2 linked regions of the Medicago truncatula genome follow. The protein of the gene in region 1 binds, or shares a complex with, the protein of each later gene. Links are inferred from orthologs where the notes say so. Each region holds a gene or a part of one and is shown in the gene's direction. Other genes may lie near its edges.

What was found.
Region 2: the proteins of monothiol glutaredoxin-S14, chloroplastic (region 1) and protein BOLA2 are in contact, whole or in part, in an NMR structure (PDB 2MMA), measured with the Arabidopsis thaliana proteins. The link is inferred for Medicago truncatula from reciprocal best matches to the Arabidopsis thaliana genes CXIP1 and AT5G09830. Residues at the interface, in NP_191050.1 of Arabidopsis thaliana: Lys130, Ser133, Asn134, Trp135, Pro136, Thr137, Glu146, Phe147, Phe148, Asp152, Ile153, Glu156, Ala157, Thr160, Glu162, Glu165, Glu166; in NP_568217.1 of Arabidopsis thaliana: Arg46, Leu47, Leu48, Arg50, His51, Arg52, Asn55, Met62, Ile65, His66, Ala67, Leu68, Ser69, Ile70, Lys71, Gln74, Gln78.

The regions. Positions count from the first base shown.
Region 1 is NC_053048.1:36,959,823-36,971,259, reverse strand, and holds monothiol glutaredoxin-S14, chloroplastic, read left to right. Parts: upstream 1-6,036; 5' UTR 6,037-6,095; coding exon 6,096-6,315; intron 6,316-6,553; coding exon 6,554-6,823; intron 6,824-7,969; coding exon 7,970-8,025; 3' UTR 8,026-8,324; downstream 8,325-11,437. Other genes in the region: protein TRIGALACTOSYLDIACYLGLYCEROL 3, chloroplastic, read right to left, coding at 65-256; flavin mononucleotide hydrolase 1, chloroplatic, read left to right, coding at 1,723-2,046, 2,284-2,335, 3,185-3,299, 3,377-3,447, 3,625-3,712, 3,982-4,105; uncharacterized protein, read right to left, coding at 10,000-10,163, 10,608-10,770, 10,976-11,173, 11,350-11,437. UniProt on the Arabidopsis thaliana protein: May only reduce GSH-thiol disulfides, but not protein disulfides. Probably involved in the regulation of the redox state of the BOLA proteins. May act as Fe-S cluster donors to Fe-S cluster-requiring proteins.
Region 2 is NC_053049.1:42,947,330-42,958,216, reverse strand, and holds protein BOLA2, read left to right. Parts: upstream 1-7,384; 5' UTR 7,385-7,490; coding exon 7,491-7,553; intron 7,554-8,472; coding exon 8,473-8,495; intron 8,496-8,601; coding exon 8,602-8,797; 3' UTR 8,798-9,143; downstream 9,144-10,887. Other genes in the region: fibrillin protein 5 homolog, read left to right, coding at 9,984-10,236, 10,347-10,462, 10,690-10,812. UniProt on the Arabidopsis thaliana protein: May act either alone or in interaction with glutaredoxin as a redox-regulated transcriptional regulator, or as a factor regulating Fe-S cluster biogenesis. The GRXS17-BOLA2 heterodimer binds a labile, oxygen sensitive iron-sulfur cluster.

The DNA.
Region 1 (11,437 bases):
TGAATAAAAAAAGGTAAAACAAAAGATGGGCAAGCAAAAAGGAAGGAACTTTTTGTTGTGTTACATTGAATTGAATGGAGGAAGAGTCCTGTGCTTTGAAATTTTGTGGAGGAGCGATGCAAGCACATATAACTTTTCTGTGATGTTTATTGTGATGGAATGGATTTAAGTAGTTGTTTTTGGGTTGGAATTTAGTAGAAGGGGAAGTTGTTTTTTGTGGAGTGAGGGGGAAGAAAGGAATTGAAAGGGAAACCATGGTTGAAGGAATTGAAAGGGAAGTGTAGGTGGTGAAATTATTGGGTTGTGGATATGGAAAGTAGCATGTGATTCATGTGGAGAAGGGGGGTGTAGAATTTTCAAAAGGGTGGAGAATGGGGGGTGTAGAATTTTAAAGAGTGATGATTGATGAAGAAGATGATTGAGTCAAAGGGGAATGAATTGGTGGTCGGTGATTCTGAGGAGCCACTACTTTCCCAGAAGATGGCTATTGCACTTGTCTTAGAGGGACTTTTTGCATAGATCTTTCTCTTCTTTTTTTTTTTTTTATTTTTCCAACATTATTATTTAATAATCTATCCAATTATTTTTATTTAGTGATAAAAACTTATTTAAAAAAATATATTTGTTCCGGACTAGGACGAAGTTCAATCCTACTCGAGCTCCAAACATAGAACTCACTTAGACGTCGCAACAACTATTTGCATATTATCCTTGTGATTTGTAATGTCTCCCATGATTTAAATTGTCTTCAACGATTGTCAACTTCGTTCAATAAAGCTCGCCATTCGTAACGGCTTTAACAACTACCCTCGCGTCATATAAATACAAGCATTCAATACAAAGCAAAATATACTTTTATTAACAAAAAATATATCTCACATCTTATTTTCTTACTAACTTGAGCGTCAGAGTATTTATAGCTATCTCCATTCATGAATTCGTATCTTACCTCATCGTGATATGAAAATCTAACTACTTTCATCCAAACCAACTCTTGTTTATAATCTAATCTCTAATCTATAATTATGCATATATTACGAAAAGTGACAAACTCTTGTTTGTAATATAGTCTCTAATCTATTACTATGCATATATTAAAAAAGTGGCACATGAGTTGAATGTAAGTCATTATAAAAATATAAATTTTCTAAAAAACTTAGATACATTTTTTAAGTGTTTTTTATGGTTATAATAGATTTTGAGAAGATTATGGATTGGAATAAATTATAAATATATTAAGTAATTTGTAACAAATATAAGTGTATATTTAAACTTAAATCATAGCTAATGAGTATCATCATATATATCAAAACATATAAAATCATATATATTTTGACAAACGTCTTAAAAACTTTTTTTTTTAAGGAAACATCCTAAAAACATTTGTTAGCATCCTTATACTGTATTCACCATGTAAACCTTGCAGAATTTTGATGTCTCAAAATAATTCAACTCAATATTAATGCAACATTTCATGTGAAAAATGTAGTAGAAAAATCCTATATACTTACTTAATACATCCTCTTTTCATTCATCATGCCTATTTTTGTTTTTGAAGCAATGCATCATGCCTATTGGTACTCCAATCACTCCCAAAAATTATATATTATTATTAAATTGGTTATACCCTACCTTAGTTGTTCCTATTTGGACTCTAATTTACAAGCAAGATTGTCCATATCCATATTCATATTAAAGTGAGCTACGACCCCATGAATTTAGATGAAAACAATTGCAAAAATGGTGTTACCAAATGTTACAACACCATTCTCTTCATTCTCAATCCACAAAACACTTAGAACACAAACAACACCACCAACAAATTACTTAAAACCTTCACTTTCAAATTCAATCACAAACATGTCATCATTCCCCAAAAACACAAACAGAAAACTTCCAATTCTGTTATTTGACATCATGGATACAATTGTTCGTGACCCTTTTTACAAAGACATCCCAGAATTCTTTGGAATGTCTTTCAATGAACTCATAGATTGCAAACATCCAACTTCATGGATTGAATTTGAAAAGGGTCTTATTGATGAGGTAAAACTAAAATAAAGCATTAAATTTTGATAAAATTCATTGCAAAATTAAGTGACCCTTTTTCATGTTATGTATAAAGATTGAATCTTTTTTACAATTATGAATTTAAAAATGCAATTGGGGAATTTGGGTATGCTTGTTTTGATGTTATCTTCTCAAATTTCTTAGAACTTTTGTATTAAATGTATTGATAATTTGATAGTTTCTGCTTTTATCAGTAGTTTTCTTTTCTTTCAGGCAGAGCTAGAAAGAAAGTTTTTTAAGGATGGAAGGGATTTTGATTTAGAAGGTTTGTCTCAGATTTTGTTGCTAGATAGAGTTGATCACTTAGTATTTTAATCTCATGTGTGATGAATTGAACAAATATAATTATAACTTTATCAGATGTAGATTACTTGTTAATATAATAAATAAAAATTCCATTTTTTTTAAGAATTGCTGGTTGCATATTATGAAATTTTGGTTAAAAAATGAAGATAATTTGGAGGTACAAATTAAATGTGGTTTACGCATATGGTCTGGATTATTATTTATTATGTATATTACTACAAAACATGTAAGCTTTTCTTTTCTCACTTTTGCCAAAAACAATGTTATGGTTCTTTATTACTCAAAATAAAGACCAGTTCTCTAGTACATGATGTACTTGTACACCTGAACATAAGTCCAGACCACAGAGCCCCAAAATAGTTGTAGAAATGAAACCAAAATAGTTGTGGAATGCGCAAGCAATGGATATTTCAACAAACCACCATTCATATAGACAAGATATTATGTGTTGTCTATCGCATCCAAATTCTACACCACTTGACTCTCGTTGAATTAGTGTGAATTTAGTTTTTATGCACGACATTGTAAATGGTAATATATTTTGGGTCATTATTAACATTAAGGTAGATAAGTTAGAGTTACACTACAAACAAGTCCTCATTTTCCAATATAAACTGTTGTCTTTATCCTACCTTCACCAGCTATATGTTACTTTTATGTGCTAATTGAAATAGGTCAGTAATTTGGTGTCAACGTTAAAATTCAACGAGAGCATTCATAATGTACTCCTTGTATCATTTTTGTGCTCCAAACCCCTCTATTTTGATATAGCCACTGACTTGCATGTGTTCTTCTATTTCTATGACAGGCCTTAAAACTTGTATGAGAAATGGGTATTCATACATAGAAGGGGTTGAACAATTGCTTCTTGCCTTAAAGAAAAATAACTTTGAGATGCATGCTTTTACTAATTATCCTATATGGTAAGAAAATGAATTTTCTATTGCGATATCTGGTTTTCATTTCGTGGCATTCTACGTAATGATGTTTTGTACTGTAGGTATCAGTTGATCGAAGACAAGTTAAAGCTATCAAAATATTTATCTTGGACGTTTTGTTCGTGTACACTTGGTAGGCTCTCTCACTCTATGCCTTTTGTGTTCATCATCTTTTTGTTTGATTATGATATTATCTATATCCTAGTTGGACCGAAAAAAAGAACTCATCATTTAAAGGTCAAACTATACACTCAAACTATCCTTTTATGCAAACCTTGAATATTATAGAGCCATTTTTATTGTGTTTCAGGAAAGAGGAAACCGGATACTGAATTCTATAAGGAAGTTGTGAGACATCTTGAAGTTGATCCAGAATATTGTATTTTCATAGATGACAGGTTTCTAATATTTCTATACATCAGATTATTTATGAAAATCAAACCATGATATCAGTTACAATTTATCAATAACACAATACACAAAGATTTGTATGCAATGCTTATGTACTGGCATCTTGGCACCCAATGTAAATATCTCCCTCATCCCGCCTCACCTCTAATCAAGCAGAAGACATAAGCAGATTATTTCATTTGAATTTGCTAATGACCAACCTATCAAAGTAGTTTATCACAAGGTGTGTCTAATTATATAGTTATTGTCTTCTCAGGCCAAAAAATGTGCAGGCAGCAGCTGAAGTTGGGATCAAGGGTGTACATTTCAAGAATGTCGATTTACTGCGCGAAGAATTGTCATTGTTGGGGGTTGACATTTCAACTGATGAAGATCAATAGTTTTTTTATTTTTTTATTTCTCTCAATACACCAATTTCTTTTACACGGTGAAAAAGGGATAAGCCAGATTCTTAATTGTATATTATTCATTCATATCATGCTATTGAGCTTTGTTAAAATGAAGGTTTAAGTCTATATTTTGGTGTATAATTGAGATTTAAAAGAACTGAAAAATCAACATGAGAGATGATCATATATTAATTCAATGACACGTAAATTTATCTTTAAAAACATTTTATAGCTTCTTTAATTCAAAAAGAAAAACAAGTTCTCTCATGCCCTCTAAAACACTTAAGAAAAGTATAAATATATTTTTAGTATTAATTAAGGTTTATACAATAATTCAACCTTTTTGTGGAAGACTGTTTGAAAATAACACATCCAACAGAAGAAGAGAAAATGGGAAGAGTCCTTTCTTGATGTGAAGACAATGGTTTAAACGCAATTACAATAATGAACCAATGCATAACAAAAGTCTTCACTAAAATCATCCTCAGCTAGCATGGAACAATTGAGGGTGTTGAAGAAGTGAAAACAAATTTGAGGGACAAAATTACTCAACCAATTGAAAACCATCCCATCCTTAGCATACAAATAGTGCTCCCATTGGCTTGATATTTTCATTATACATGGTGTTGAATGTTGAAGCTAATTGATTCCACAGAAGGGTTATTTTTCATGATGAAATATTCCTTTTGTTCTGCTTTGATAATGAAATTCAAAATGATCTGAAACATGAAATCTAGAAGAAAAGATTAACCATATTTGTAAGGCTATTTGCTGAGGCACAGACGATCTACTGGAAACAAAAAGCATTATTATGTGCGTACAGTATGTTTAATGTCTTAGTCCCACATCGACTGGTGCAACTACAGAATTAAGCTAGAGCTTATAAAATGAAAGGACTTGTTTAGTTACAAAGCTAGGAGCCATGTGATAAAGCAAATAGCGAACTATTCTTTTACTTTTTACTAAACAACACCGCGATCTCTTTAATAATATTAAGTTTAATTTTTTAATATCTTCATAAGATTTATTTAACATGTGTAATATTACATATATTACTGTATTATATTATTATTAATGCATATGTTAAATCAACTAAGATGAACAAGTTTTTATTGTAAAACAATTATTATTTATTAGAAGCTACCCCAACCAATGATAATAGTTAACTTCTGGTTTTTTCTTTTCGGAGGAGATACTTAGTTAACTTCTAAGTTGCATTTATAGAATGATATAATATTTTTTTAAAATTTTCGTTGTTGGATAAATTATCACCGATTTTTTAAAGATAACTTAAAGAAAATTTAAACCAAAATGAATTATATTAACAAAACTTAAGCAACCCCTTCAACACAAGATTGCCAAAGAGACTACTAAATGATATAGATAAATAATATAATATATGTTTTTAGCAAATTGATAAGTTTTCTTTAAGTTATCTTTAAAAAATCGGTGATAATTTATCCAACAACGAAAATTAACAAATTTATAAGTGGGCTTAGAACGGACCCCCCCCCCCCCACACAAGTGGGCGGTGAAATTAATTTCCTCATATTAGTCGGTCCTTGAATTCGATACCAAATTTAATTTTTTTTTTCACATGTGTAAAATATGTTTGTGGATATCATTTCCAAATTGCAAATAATTATTTTTATTTTTGTTCAAAGATAATAATAGACCTCATCCATCAATTTTATTTTTTTTGGCTACCCCTCATCCATGATTTGATAATTGATAAAACAAGAGCAATGATATTTGTACATACATTCTATGACAACTTTAATGACAATCTTATTTTTCTCTCTTTTTATTGGTCAAAAATAATAGAAAGAAAAATGAAGAGAGAAGATAAGATTTAAGTGTGAGAGAGAAAGTCGTACAAAAGTTATCACAAATTAGTTAATATCTTCTCACATAAAACAAATAGTAACACTTGGAGAGAGAATTGCGATTGGAGTTGAACTCAGAAACTGAACAAACAATCATGTCTTTCAGTTCGTGCGTTAAACCATTCCCTTTGCAAGTACACTTGCACCCAACAACATCATGCTTCAACTCCCATGTTTCTGGAACAACAACAACAACAACCTCGTCATTGTCTCTTCCACCTCGTTCATCTCTTGTTCTCAAACAAAACACTATTTTACATTCCCAACCCAAATTTCAACTCAAACAACGTTTTTCCACCACAATTCGCTGTTCTGGTACTTCTTAAACCTCTTTTCCTTCATGGGTTTTCACTTAATTACTATAGAGTTACAATCTTTAATTCCCCCATTTCAATTTCACCCTTCAGTTTTTCACAATTCACAAAAGCCCCTTGTAGGGTTAACTCTATTTTTTTCAATTTTTTTTTTTTACTATTTACAATTTCATAGATAAGAATATGATTATATAGTCTTATATGCAACTTGGGTTTTTTCTGATTTTGATTTGTTTCAGCTTTGACTCCTGAATTGAAGACCACATTGGATAAGGTTGTTACATCAAACAAAATAGTTTTGTTTATGAAGGGTACTAAGGATTTTCCACAGTGTGGATTCTCAAATACGGTTGTGCAAATTTTGAGGTCTTTGAATGCGTCTTTTGAAACGATTAACATATTGGACAATGATATGTTGCGCCAGGGACTGAAGGAATATTCCAGTTGGCCTACCTTTCCTCAGCTCTATATCGATGGAGAGTTTTTTGGAGGATGTGATATCACTGTTGGTATGTCCTCTTGAATTTCTGATTTTCATTCTTGTTTGTGTCTTTGTGTTGGACAATATTGGCCTCATCAATCAATGTTGCCTTGGTGATAATGTTGTATAAGACATTGTCTTGGTCTGTCAAGAACCAACTTGGAAATAAACTAAGTGTAGCAGAGATGAGGATGTTGTGTTGGATGTGTGGTAAGATTAGATGGGATATGATTAGAAATGACAACATTAGAGAGTTAGGGTAACACCTATAGTAGAAAAGATGGTGGAAACTAGGCTTAGGTGATTTTGGCATGTAAATAGAAGACCTCGAGATTATGTAGTAAGGAGATCATATCAGATGGAGAGTAGTCAAAACACTGAGACAGAGGAAGACATAAAAAAACTATAAAAAAATCTTTTAAGAAAGATCTAGAGATTAATGAGTTTGATATAAATATGGTATATGATAGACCATTATGCGTCGTGATCTATGTAGCCGGCCCCGCTTAGTGGGATAAGGCTTGGTTGTTGTTGTTGTTTAATTTGGTTTGCTTCCATGATGGATAATTAGTAATAGAAAGAGCTATGATAAATTTCACATTTTACATTTGAGTTAGGAAATATTCTAATCAAGTCGCTACTAGTGATTAGTTATCATATTAAACTAATGGAGATATCATACCATAGGTTTCGCCTATATACTTTCCTTCTCATTTTTTGAAGATTTAAGATTCACTAAATAGAACCTAAAGAAATGGGAAGAGTTTTATCTAAAGATTGAATTTGAAGAAAAGCTAGAAATACAAAAGACGGCCAGATTGGTTTAAATGCTAGTAACCTGACAAATATTCTATCACGTCGGTTACAGAGATTTTTTTTTTTTTATCAGCTATTGCAAAATTGATGTTTACAAAATGCCAGTTTGCACATATTAATCTTTTTTACTGTTACATGTACATACCTTGCTTCCTTGTAATTGATCCATAAAAGTTGAAAAAGAAAAATTGTTTTCGAGTAGGTCCTCCAGCTTTCATATGTTTACTGCATGATGTTACTATTGACTGCATAAGAATCAGTTATTAAGTTTATTTTTTAGCATCGGATAAGACTGTTATTATCGACCTTTAATTTCTCGAAAATAATTGTTTTAATCTCACCTTGTTTATGGCTGCAGAGGCATATAAGAATGGAGAATTGCAGGAACTAGTGGAGAAGGCAATGTGCTCCTGAAGTCTCATTTGCTGATGAGCATAATCATCACTAAGTTATACAATGGCTCTGGGATGATGGATATTTGTATAATACATTTTGTGTCCACAAATGTCTATTATGATTATGAGTACGAGTATGTATGCTACATTGCAATTATTCTGGCATTTGAATACAAAGTAGAATATCTCATTGAATGGACAATTATAGTGCTAGTTGCAGCTGCAAATGTTGTTCCATTAATCAATTTTCTCACTTTTGTTAAACTGCCATGATCGGGATAACTACTACAAGATCATTCATTGATTTAAATTGTGAAATCAGTCTCCTACAAATGCAAGGTCTGTTCTGTTTACAACAGACCCCCAGTTTGTCTAACTCTTTCTTATACATTGTCATGACATGAGGTTTGTAGCCTCGGTTTGAATTTTTCTGTTAAACTGTTATGTTGCTACTTTGTAACATGATACCACTGTTTTAAAGAAAAATCAGACCAGACTGACCTTCGAACCGGTTCAGCCGAGAACTGGACCCATGGTTGTGCTTATAAACCGGATGTTATGGCATTGATCTATGGTTCAACCACATGATCCACTACTAAACCCTTTTTTTAAATTGGGTTAATCATCGGTCTGGTTTTTGTAATACTGGCTCTACCCGGTAGTCACAATAGTTACAAAATTAGCTTCCTCTATGCAATATGCTTCTAAAAAATGGTAGAAGTCTAGCTGTAGCATGTAGATTGTGCACTTAGATGTATAAGGTATGTTATCCAATTCAATACAATTAACCTGTGAAGCTTAGTGTGCCAAATGCCAAATGCCAATGTACTGAAGAGAAGTTGGTGGGACAAATTCCTAAAGGGTCTTGTTAACTAGTGGACATGATTCGCATTGAAAATGACAATATTTCAACTTTTAAAAAATAGAATACACAATTTCTAAGAAAATATTTCCTTTTCTAATTCCTTAACCTTAACATTTCCTATTCTTAAAATATGAGGATATTTTCCTAAAATTTATTGAAAAGATCAAGGGTTTTGCCTCTCTAATTGAAATGTGGCCATAAATTTATTGGTGGAAGGATTTGCCAACATATCTATCAAAAAATTTGTAAGAGGGGCAATCGTCATATAGTAATACTTGTGTTATGATCTTTTTTTATAAGATTGAGTGAATGAAGACATATGTGATTGTGACTTTAGCTGGATAATGATATCAATTGGAAGTCGGGCTCAAATTGAAAGCTAACTCATTTTTTTAGTTTTGACAACATTGGGAATGTGATTCTTAAACAAGCTAAAGGGGTTAGTGGTATCTGCATGGGAGAAAAAAATTAAAAATTAATGGCAGTGGTCGGAAATTGGAAAACATCATCTGAAAATACGACAAAAGATAACATCCATGCTTTTTTAGACTCAACCCAGTTGTTTGTGTCTGTTCATTCCAACAAACAAGGGATGTACATGCTTATTGGATGCTCTTAATTGTATAACCCTTCTAGAGAAATTTATCTATAGTGAAAATAAAAAGTCACTCAGCATATCATAACATAAAAAATCCATAAAGAATAAAAATGGGAAATTATGTTACATTCTGAAGAACTATTACTCACAATCCACTCTCCTTTACACAAAATACTGCACTGGCTATATACAAGGTTTGACGAAACATATATGAACATGGAAAATCAGTTTCAGAAGAGTGGTAAAGAATATTAGACGATGACAACAATAATCATCAAAGAATATCGGACAAAATCAAATATGGATCGGCGGCATGTTTTGTCCAGACACAGCAGCTTCAATGCAGGAATATTCGGCTAGGAATACTATGGTTTTGAAGAGATCTATTCAGCACATTCTCCCACTTAAAGATTTTACAACCATTAACTCTTCTTGGACAGGTTTCAATCAAGAATCAACTTCCACTGTTGAATCATGCTTGTAAAATTCATGGAATGGTCTGATGATCGGTTGATGCAAAGACACCTATGCTAAGTTTCGTTGCTCTTTATTTGGGAAGAGTGGTTAGATGAGGAGGAGTGGAGCAGAGACTGCGCAGCTAATAATCTTTCCCTTAACATGCCATTATACTCATACAGATTTTTGAGATTCTTCTGAACATCGGACATGTCCATTTCAGAACCACTCTTGCATTCTGCATCATATTTGCATATAAGTTATATCCATTAGAGGTAGCAAAAGCACCACAGTACGATTTTCGAAACTTGAAAAAAGGTATCATTCAAATATCTCTTCAAATAATGCAGAAACAAGTTTTAAATAATTGACAATCCAACAGCTATTAAGCAGATAAACCAATTGAAAAACATAATGTGTTAGCAGTGTTACCTATGATCGTAATAGAGAAGCAAAACCAAAGTTCAATAGCATTATATCAAGACAACATATGGAGCCAAGAGAGACATTTATGATGGGGAGACAGTGGATCTAAGATTTCAGTTTCACTTTTAAAACTCAGCAAAGTAACATTCAACAAAACTTATTTCACGCGAAAAGATACTGATTTAAATATCACCTAATAAGTATGCTGGACAATATATTAAAACAAACAACTAATTGGTAATTGTTATTAACATACCTAGTGAAGGTGGAGGAGGAATAAAGTTATCATCAGTGATAGACGATTCTTGAGGTTGACATGGTGGGAAATCTCTGCTTGAACCAACACTATGCTGCTTTGCCGTATTTTCATAATGCAGTGTCAAATCATTCGTAGATCCAAGCGGTTTGCTGATCAATGACTGGAAGAAAACATTGAAATCAATCTTAAAAAGATGCCTGGCAGCAACCATATATTTTAGTAGAAAAACTAGCTACAAACAAATCATTCTGACAAATTTATAGAACTTTACCTTGTTGGCAGGTAAATTACGAATATAGAAAAACTAACAAATATATAGTGACAGCTTTATAGAAAAACTAACGAATATATAGTGATAGCTTTACCTTGTTAGCAGGTAAACTCGGTTTCTCGTACAAATTTATAGAACTTGTTTTGCTTTGCTGCCTTCGCTTATGTGATGATCCATTGCTTTGTCTTGAATACAACATAAACCCATCACAACAAGCTCCCTTTTTAGATTCATCATAGTTGTCATCATCCATTGTAGGAACGCCATAGGTAAACTTTACATATTTCCTAAGCTGGTTAAAAGCAGAAATATCAGTCATATAAACCAACTTATAAGAAGCCTATTAATTTTTTATTTTTTTATAAGAAGCCTATTATTGACTTCTTCAAAAAAAGAAGCCTAATATTGACAATAAGAAAATTAATGTGAAATATACAAGATGTTTTCAGATGTTAACAAAGACATTACTTTATCCCAATTATCTTGAGCTTTACACCGGTTTTTAATTGACCGCAAAACACTATCCTCATTTCTGAGCTTCTTTACCCTGTATTCA
Region 2 (10,887 bases), on another chromosome or scaffold:
CCATCTTTTGCTTTTGTTTTTTATATGATCCTAAGATAATCCCCATCCTTGTTTGTTTCCACATCCAATTTTTAGTAACTCTTATCTTTAACATTATCATTGGATTACTGTATAGGACAATATGAAGGCAAAATCAGAATCTCTCTTTGAAGACGGAGAATCTAGCTTTGACAATGTTTAGCAAAATGAGAGTTTCACACATTCATCCACTCTTTGATTAATCACAGAACTGAAATTAACTGGCATCGATGCATGAACAAAAAAATGCTCCCACTCTTTGATTTCACATTTCTCTAGTGCAGCAACAATTTTCGTCCTTTCTCTTTCATTTGGAAATAACAGTTTGGTAATACTTTTGTTTTTAGTTTTGCAGTTCATCACAGTTTCTGCTTGTTATCTATTATTGGTTGTTAAAGCTGAAAAAATGAAATGTAGAAATATAAGACCATTAAGCGTGATGTGGCTGAACTTCTTAACTTGACATGCTTAACATCACATTTCTTTGCTCCTTGCAAGTTACAATGAACATTAAATGTGATGTGGCAGAACTTAACTTGCTACAATTTCCTGTCTTTTGAACCCCTTGTATGTTCTGCTCAACTTTTATTTTATTTCATGGAACTTATTGGATTTTTAACTGTCACACGTTTTGATGGTAAAGAGGCTTAATCTTCTGTAACATGAATAAGTTAAGCGTGTTCAAGAGTTCTAGCTGTGACAATTTCATAAGAACCATGCAAAGTAATAGTCATGTTATTTAGTCTATGTTTTAGTTATTAATTTTGATAATTTATTATTGTCAGAAGGGATGTTGCTATTAGAGTTGTGGGATGGAATGATGGATACTGGATAGAGTTATAGGCACGTTTAAGAGACTAATTAAGTTTTTAAAGAATTACAGCATGATACAAATAATTATCATGATTGTTTGGACTTGAGTGTGATTATGATGTTCCTAAGCCGAAGTCTTTACTAACTAGATTTTTACGAGTATGCCATCTTTAAAACCTGATTTAGTAAAAATACAACTTGACATTTTGTTGTTAGTCAAAAGTTAGACCAAAGAAGATCCACTTTTGGTTGTTTTGTTATAGTTAATTGCAAGTCATTCATTTCGCGATTATGCAAATTTTACTATTCTCTTCTGTCTTCTAATATATTTCGGTTCTGCAGATGGAAAGCAACAGATGAGTCCATTTGCTAATTCAAAGACTGCTACATATTTAGCCTGGCAAAACATGCACAACAAGTACTGTCACTATGCTTTCTGTTGATTTCAATGTCCATTTTACATCCAAAGTCCTTGCAACCAAGAGTATCAATCCAGGTTATTTCACATCTATTGCCACATTTTTTGTGCTGAATTTTTTTAACTATTGCAGGTGTAGAAGATTTCATTACATTTTAAACAAGATTTTTTTACTTGTGCTCTTTCACTTCTGTCAATCAATCCGTGGGATTCATATGCGATTAAATCCATGTCTCTAGAACATTCTAATTGCCCAGCCAGTGCTGTTCAAGCCTTAACTCATGCAATGAGTCGGCGCATGTCTCCTGCTTCATCAGAATCATGGTGTAGACGAGTAGTGGTCATGGTCAACATGTCAATTCCAGCATGTGGATCTCATGCCGAAAGAGATATGAAAATTCCAGCAGTGAGACTTTGATATAGCGTACGCCATAGCTCAAAATCATCTTTATCGCAAATGTTGCCTAATTTCTGAATTTTGTCAGCATGAGGCGAAAACATTAACCAATCCATCTCTTTCCCTCTCACTTTCTCTTTACTCTCTCTATTTCTGTAAGTGCTTTAAGATGTTTATTAGGTACCTTTCTTTGATCCAACAACCATGACTTCCTCTGATAATTTTATTTCACTGTTGTAAATAAATTTCAAATGGATTGTTCAATTGGACCAGTTACTAAATCATTTAATTAAACCCAACAAGAATGACAATGTGCTCTCATTATAGTTGACACCAAAGCAGAAACCATGCATGGAAACACCAAGATAATCTCAAGAAAACTGTAAAGACTAAATCAACAAACGGTTTATTAAAGAACTAATAAAACAACAAAGCCACAAAGCCTTTGATAACAATGTGAATTAACTACAAATTCAAAGTTTCACTTCAACGGAGAAAGAAGCGCAGCACAAAGCCACAAACTAAACAACAATGCGAGTTAACTACAAATTCAGAGTTTCACTTTAGTACATGAACAACAGTGTAACTGTAAACTTATTAACTACAAATTTCATAGAGATTCACTTCAGCAGAGAAAGAACTAAACCGCAATCTTCATCATCATCGAAGCATCGCACTCACAGGCCATGGTGATCTTCAATCTCAACCATTGGCTTGACCTGAGGCATGGGAGACACACCTGCTGTAGTAGTGACACCAGCAGCACAACCACCACGTCCATCAAGAGCAGAGCAGGTTTCTTCCGTCGCCTGACCTGGAGAATCTAATAAAGTTGATGCTCCGGCTCCAACACCTGCTCCTTCCGACGCTCCTTCACCTCCTAATATAGTATCATAAGCAGCCGCAATAGGATTGATATGCGGAAAAGGCAAATACACACTGTGCACAACTATCTTCACATTGCGGATGACGTCAGCAACCTTAACTCTCACATAGTTAATCCTCATCGGCGCTGATGTCACTCCTCCGCCGGAAGTAGTGATCAGAAGCGGCTGACCTCGCTCCAATGTAGGCAGAGCAGTTCCAACTGGAAGCTTCTCAAGATCGGCGATCGACAAGTAATAATTCGGTATGATATGGAATCGCACATTGCTGATGTACGATTGAGAACCGGAGAATATAGAAAGATCATCAACGGCGAAAATAGTCATGTTGTTGAGAGTTATGAGCTCTGCGTATTTTACCTTCATCGCAAGGGAGAGGATGCTGAAACCGTTATTACGGAGCCTGAGCATTGCATCTCGTAGCATGAGGCGCATTATAGCAGGGAGCACGGTGACGCCGTGAGTGTGAACGTGAGCACTGGAACGGTGATCAGGATGAAACGGAAAGGAGAGTGAAGTCATTCTCTCAACGTCACAAGAAAACGGAGAAAGTGTAGAGACGAAACCTTGAAGGCCGTGAACAACAACCATTCCGTTGTTGAATAGATCCGGTTGAGCAATCTCAACGCCTCCGATGAAAACTTTTGGAGCACCGCCGGTAGTAATGTTCGAATGAATCGAATCGGAAGTGACGGTTATGCAACGGCCTGGACTGAGCGTCTCGATCTTGGTGCCAAAAGGAAGCGTACGCAAATACTCGATAGTGAATAAACCTGGAACGATGTGTTCACGGAGGAGATTCGGAACAGAGCAAGAAAAGCAAGTGCGAAGCGAAGCATCGGAGGGAGCGAAAATGGTAGAAGGACCGGTCCAAGCAGAGGAAGCGGTGGTTGCGGCATCGGAGAGCGACGGAGCGGCGGTTGCAAGCTCGTGAAATCCGAGATGAGACAAGATCGGTGGAAGTAATGTGGTGTGAGAGAAGAACGAATGTTCTTGAAGATCATGTGGAGGTAGCGGTGGGATTGAAGGTTCGAAACCTTCAGTGGCGGTGACCTTGTCACCGGAAAGCATGACGGTGAAGAAGATTGCGAAGAGCATCGAGAATCGAAGAGAAGAAAAGGTTGAAGAGCTTTCCATGGTTGTTTGAGAAAAAGTAGAAGAAGCAGTGATTGAAGATTTGATTTCAATTCTGAGAGAGGGAAAATGAATGGAACGAGGATGAAATGCAGAGTGAAGTACTTATATACGCGCGCGCGGGGGAGTGAAACTGTTAGAGAGATTTTGTAATCGTGTGAGTTTGTTACGCGGTTGTTAGAGGTTTAAAGTTTTCGAATTTTGGGATTTGTAAGCGTGCCAAGTATTTTTTTTATTTTTTTTTTAAATGGAAGTGGAAAAAATAGAAAATGAAAATTAGTGATTCATCTTTTAATCAATGTTTTTCATTTTTTGATAACTCTTCACATTATTGCAGATTTTTTGTTGCAACACATCTCATCATGAGAACAAGTTCGCCTCCCACATGAGGGGGCGGTTTAAGAAAAATTCAATGATTGAATTTGATTTATATAATGAAATTGATTTGACATTTAATTATTTGTCCATATAAATTTTGGGTCATGATAGTGCTAAATACTCTTGCGATGATCTTAGATTTTCGACAGTAAATAATAATTCATCTATTTCTACTTTTACTTGGAGGGTTATTGTTAGTGTTTAGAAGGATGTCTCTAGAAACATAACTAGGTATATTAAGAATGGTCATCGTGTTTGGTTTTGAAAATATGTTTGGATTTGAGATTATGGCCCTTTGCAAAATATCGCCTCCAATGGTTTTTCCGTTGTCCATATGGAGTTTTCTGTCTCTCATTATGTTTTTGATGGCCGATGGAACTGGGAATTGCTCAATCAACTTCTTCCTCAATAAATTTATGAGAAAATTACAGTTATCAAGCCTCCCTTTAATGAAAAATCTGTCTTTCTTTGAAGAAACCTTACCAGAGATGGAGATTTCTCTCTCAAATCACCGTATTCTATCATACATGGTAAACATCACTTCTTCTCAACAAACCTTAATATCTTTCATGGTAAAATTCTAACTAATGATGAAAGGTATCATATAAGTATGACTAGAGACAATCTTTGTATTATATATGGTGACTATCAAGAGACAATTATATATGTCTTAAGAGATTGCGTAGAAGCAAACATGTTGTGGAATGGTCTAGTTTCTCAATATGTTTGGAGCAATTTCTTTAGTCTTGGATTGTTTCAATGGCTCGACTAGAATATCAAAACTCTTAATATTGACACAATACATAACAATCGCCAAATGTTCTTTGGAGTTGACGTTTATGAGCTTTGGAAAGATAGAAATAGCCTAATGTTCAATGGGAAATCTTTGATTGGTAACCAAGTTCTATGTCAAATAACCAACTATGCTAATTTCACTATTTTCTCTATCAATTCTAAATTCTAATGTCTAATTTCATTCTCATCCATCGAGACACAATGTCAAGGTCTTTTGGTCATCTCTACCAGACGATCATTATAAGTTTAATATTGGTGAATATCATAAAAAGTCAACATGAATATCTAGTCGTGGAGGTTTGATTAGATATTGACATGGTAGGAATATACGTGGTTTCGACAACATAATTGTCACTTTATCTGCCTCGTGGGCATAACTTTTGGGGCCTTTAAATACACTGGAATAGATATGACGAGTCAATTGAATATTAGAAACACCATTTTTGAAATGGATTCTATGATCATGGTTAATATGGTTACTTCAGGTTCATCTCAAAATTCTCTTCTCCATGAGGTGATCTCTCTTATCCACCGTCCTATATGGAGAACTTCAGTTTGTCAAGTGCATTGCGAGGCTAAACAATGTGTTGATCTGTTGACAAATCTCATACATTCTTCATTGTATTTTAATTATATTTATGTTTGCAATGTTTTTCGTTCGACTTTGAAACTTCTACCAGAAGATGATGTAAGATGTAATAGTTTGTCTCATTTAATTTCGTAATTTTTTTTTCTTATAAAAAAACCATCTCCATAAAATTCTATGTGAAATGATATTAATTGTGTGCGCAAATAAGTTTTAGATCAGTAGCGTGTAACTTTTTTTTTTTGAAGAAAACAATTCTTTTAAAAAAATTAACTTAATTGATAGTGACAATATATTGCAATAGAAAGGGACATGGTTGTCCCCGTGAGCATAACTCAGTTGGCAGGGACAATGCATTATTATATGCAGGGGCCGGGGTTCGAACCCCAGACACCCCACTTATTCACTTTAAAAGTGAATTTCTAGGCACTAGGCTACCTGACCAAAAAAAAAAAAAAAAGGGACATGGTTTAAATCGCATATACCCTACTTATTTACATTCAAATTTCTAAAAAAAAAATACAATTCTTTAAAAAATATTAGTTAAAATAAAATAAACTCATGTTAAAAAAAATGATGAAAAGAAGTGAATAACAAAATAGGATAATTATTTTTCGGCTTAATACATCAGTTGATCCCTTAACTTATTTTCGTTTTTCATTTTGGTTCCCTAACTATTAAACGTCTCAATTTGGACCTCTATATATTACGCTGTTACCTATTTTAATCATCTCCGTTAATTTTTTAATGTCTAATAATGTTGATATGACTTCAACCATCCGATTGCAGATCCATTGTATATAATAGTGAACTACCAACATCTGATTTTTTTTTTCCTTTTCTTCTTCTTCTTCTCCTTCCCTCTTACTCCTCTTGATCTTCGTCATCTTAATTATTAAGTTCATATAAACCCAAAAAAATTGAACAAACAAAAACATAAAAAATAAGAATTGATTGATTCTTCGTTATTCACTAAAATCTCAATTTTAGTTAGATCCCATTAATAATAATAAAATAAAAAAACTAAAAATAAAACACAGCAATCCATAGATTCACTTCTTCGTGATTCATTTCTTCTACCATTAAATTAATCTTCTCCAATTTGAGACATATATTCATTTCTTTCTTCCACAGTTTATACAACATCACTTCTTCCTAATATAAACGGTGAAATTAAAGGCTCGCTACCTCCTTTCTTGTGCGATGAGATTTATAGGGATTTTATAGATTTAACTGTTGGTTATTTTTGTTTTCTTTATACGGAATGGGATTGCGTTTGAAGCTGAGTTATTGAAATTATTTTTATACAAAACCCAGATGCAGAAGAACTAAAATCACAAACCCATAGGCAATACAACAACACTTACTCTCTTTCTCTCATTTTCATTATGATTTCATTTTGATGTGAATGAATTGAATCCGAATGCAGAAGAACTGAATCAGAATTTGACAGTTTTGATGTGAATGATTTGGTTTTGTTTCTCTAAGAAGGGTTGTTGTTGTTTGTTTTCTGGGTTTGATTCTGAATTTGAAGGGTTGTTGTTTGTTTTCTGTGTTTGATTTTGACGATGATATTATGTGTTGTGGTTGTTATTTTTTTCTGGGTTATATTAAGATTGACCAAGAAAGTATGAATGTGATGAAGGAAGAAGAAGTAGAAATAAGAAAAAAATTATGTGTTGATGGTTCACCGTAAGATACAACAGACCTATATAATCTAACGGTTCTCTTTTTAAAAAAATATTAAAGGGTTTAAATTAAATGAATTTATAAAGTCTATGATGGACCACCTTTAATATGATTCAGCTTAAACTAAAAACTAATGGAGATGATCAAAATAATAAACTGCATAAGATTTATAGGATCAAATTGAGACGTTTAATTGTTACGAGACTAAAATGAAAAAAGAAAATAAGTTAAGGAAAATGATATATTAAGCCTTATTTTTCTTTTATCTATCCGCGTGTGAGCAACGGCAAGTTAAGAAGCGAATATCTTTCACAAAAGGGTTTACACGAGAAATTGAAGAACAGCAGAAAGGGCAAACCTCACAAGAGAGAAATAGAAATGGGTGTGACAAAGGAACAAGTCGAATCATCTTTGAACTCCAAACTCAACCCTTCCCATCTTGTAAGTTTCTCTTTTCCAGTTTCGTTCCTTTCCTTTGATTTACGCTCGTTTCACTAATAAACATGGCTTAATTTCAACACACCATTTTTATTTTATTTTGTATATATTATTATTTTCCATCCTTAGCCCTAATTATTATATTGGAATGTGCAATTCCTTTGTCATGCTTCATGCCTCTTAGCATTGGAGATCCAAAAAAATCCCTAATTGTTCCCAAATGTATCGAAACTTCAAAAACATTATTTAGTGTGTTTCGGTTAGTAGTTTCATGGACAGCCTAATTAACGAAAAATACATTCAATGACCAAACTAACGAGGACCGAATTGACTAGCGAAAGACACTTTTAGGAAAGTTGTTGTAATTTTATTCAATATTCATGCAAGTTCAAGGACCCTAATAGTTGTTAGCTATGGCTATCTGGAGTCTATATTACAATTTTGGAATTTCTTTTGATCAAGAGACTGTAAAATTAGTGTCTGACTCTTGAAGTTTTCACACTGCTCTGGTCTGATTATTAACATGATCAGTATTTTTACCTGAGTTTAATGGTTACACACTGGCAGCCCACAATTTTACACTGACATCCAATGAGAGACCACCATTTTTCCACATCACACAATCAGCTTCAAAATACATGTACATTGAAAATGCACATCCTCTGATTCCTCTTTACTTTTGACTCGACATTACATGCAGTGTAGAGTATCCTTAGTGAAATATGTTAAAAATGGAACTTCATCCTATGAAAGGGAAAATGATCAACCTTCAATTTATCAGTTTTACAGTTTATATGAGTTCATGAGTTATGAGGAACAAACTATACTACTGCACCAACTTGAAAATGTGAACCTTCCATTTGTATTTGACAATGACCTTCTCCTTTTCCTTTTGAATTTCTTATGTTTGTTTTTGTTTCAGGAAGTAACTGATATATCTGGCGGGTAAGTTTTGTTTTCCATCCAACACATTTTTTATCAGCTTTTTTCTACCACCGTATACTTGTCGCTTATATCTTACAATCTTATAATTCCATGTTGGTATTATTAGGTGTGGTTCAAGTTTTGCAGTTGAGATTGTTTCAGAACAATTTGAAGGAAAAAGGCTATTGGAAAGGCATCGAATGGTGAATGCTGCCTTAGAGGAGGAAATGAAAGAGATTCATGCACTCTCTGTAAAGAAAGCTGTAACTCCAGAGCAGTGGAAAAAACAGCAAGAGTCCAACCAATCAAATCCTGCGGCCTAGAGCATATAATATTTATAAATAAAAAACCCTTACAATATATTGCTGGCAGTATTTGTGGATCATAGTTCTATGTATTATTTGCTGCCACTCAAATTTTATGTTGCACTGCTAAATTTTAGTTGACAAAGTCCCTGACTTTCAGTAGGGTAATTTTATGATGATTGTTCTTTTTATACTTTCTTGGGTATTGCTTACTAGAATACATGTAAGCATGCTCAATAGAGATGAAAGTTGGAAGAAATGAAGGCAAAGTAAAAAGCTAAGAATGCATGACTTATGAAGGTTTCTTGCATGTCTGAATCCGAATGGATCAATCAATTTCTATTTTTCCTAAATTTTAATTCTTTCCAAGTTCATTCTTCATGTGGACTTAACTTGTTGACTTGAATATGTGGGTGTCCTTTTCATTTTTCTTCTGAGGGTTTTGTTTTCAGTCTGAATTTTTAACCTTGCTAGTTCATTTGGATGGCGTTATTGATGAGTATTATGTTTCAACCTTTAGGTGATTTTCGCTATGTCCTGATATATCATGACAGTGAGTTGGTAAACTGAAGGCATTGTGGTTTTGCTGAACCTTCAAAGTGTATATTAGCTAAAGTTACGGTAGCACACCGTGATTTTGTCAAATTTACCAGAGGTCCAAATATGCACACATCTTTTACACTGACAATTGTGTCCTTTTCTCACCACACACAAGATTCAATGGTGCCTTAAAAATCTACTGTTTTCTTCACATCTGAACTAAGAAGCTTTATAGTCCTCCTCGTCACTTGTGAAAACAATTGATTCATAAATCTTATGACCGTGTCATTACTTTTGTACGCTGAATAGAAGGAATGGTTGAAACCACTTCAAGTGCCGTCAACTATTTTTATTGTACTCAATTTGTGCATACTATAGGAACATTTGGCTTTTGAGGTCAATAAGTAAGAGACCAACACGTACAGTGTCTATCTCATGGACCTCATATATTCTATGAATTTTAACCACATGTCTCGATAAGACCTATCCAAAAACCTTGATTAGAAAAAATCAAATAAAGACAACAAATATGTACACAGTTCCACTGTCATCAAAATTTTGAGTCACCCTTTTATCAGAAAACTTGAAAGAACAACGTGCGAGGTGTCACCACCATGATCCTCTACCCTGTTTCATTATTCTGTATTTAAGCTTGAATGTTATTATGATAACTAAGCTAGTGCATCCATCAATGAATGATTCTCCTCTGGTTTGTAGAACCATGAACATCATGAAACTTCAAAGATTTGGACCGGTTAGTAATCGTTCATGGATAAAGACTTCAAGATTTGGTGAGAAGCCATTATGGTTTAGACCCATTACTATCATTAAAGTTGCAGAACAATCTTCTGGCTATGGCTTAGTTGAAGATGAAGCACTTGGACAGAAGAAAAGAGAGCTTTACCAGGCTCTGGAAGGTAGCATCTTCAATTATTCTTATTATTTGTTATTCTGAGCTATTGTTAACACTAGTTAACAAAGTGGAAAGAGTAATTTGTTTGAAATGGGTAAACAAATGTGTTTGAAGGAATCAACAGAGGGATATTTGGAATTCCATCCGGCAAGAAGTTAGAAATTGAAACTTTGGTGAAGCAGCTAGAATCTCAAAATCCAACTCCAGAACCAACACTAGAACTAGAGAAGGTAACTTCATGTCAAGGTTTTAAAATCGACACGGTACAGTCATGCCGCGATTCTTGATATTATGGAGAGTTCGAGTTAAATGTGGTTGATGTGGTGTCATAAGAGGCTGTGTTATGGCCGCAAAGACATAAAAAAGTTGATGTCGAGGCCTAAATCACATTTTTTTAAACTATATTAATTGTCATACACAAACTTTCATAATCATGTTATGTTTCTATTACTGGAAGGTGGATGGGTGTTGGAGGCTTGTTTATAGCACTATCTCAATTTTGGGATCAAGAAGGACAAAGTTAGGCCTAAGAGACTTTATCGCATTGGGTGATTTCTTTCAGATTATTGATAAAACCAAGGTACAAATACAATGCACTTCTCAATTTTATATGATATATGACCCTTTTTCTTTTGACTTTTGATTTACTGATTTT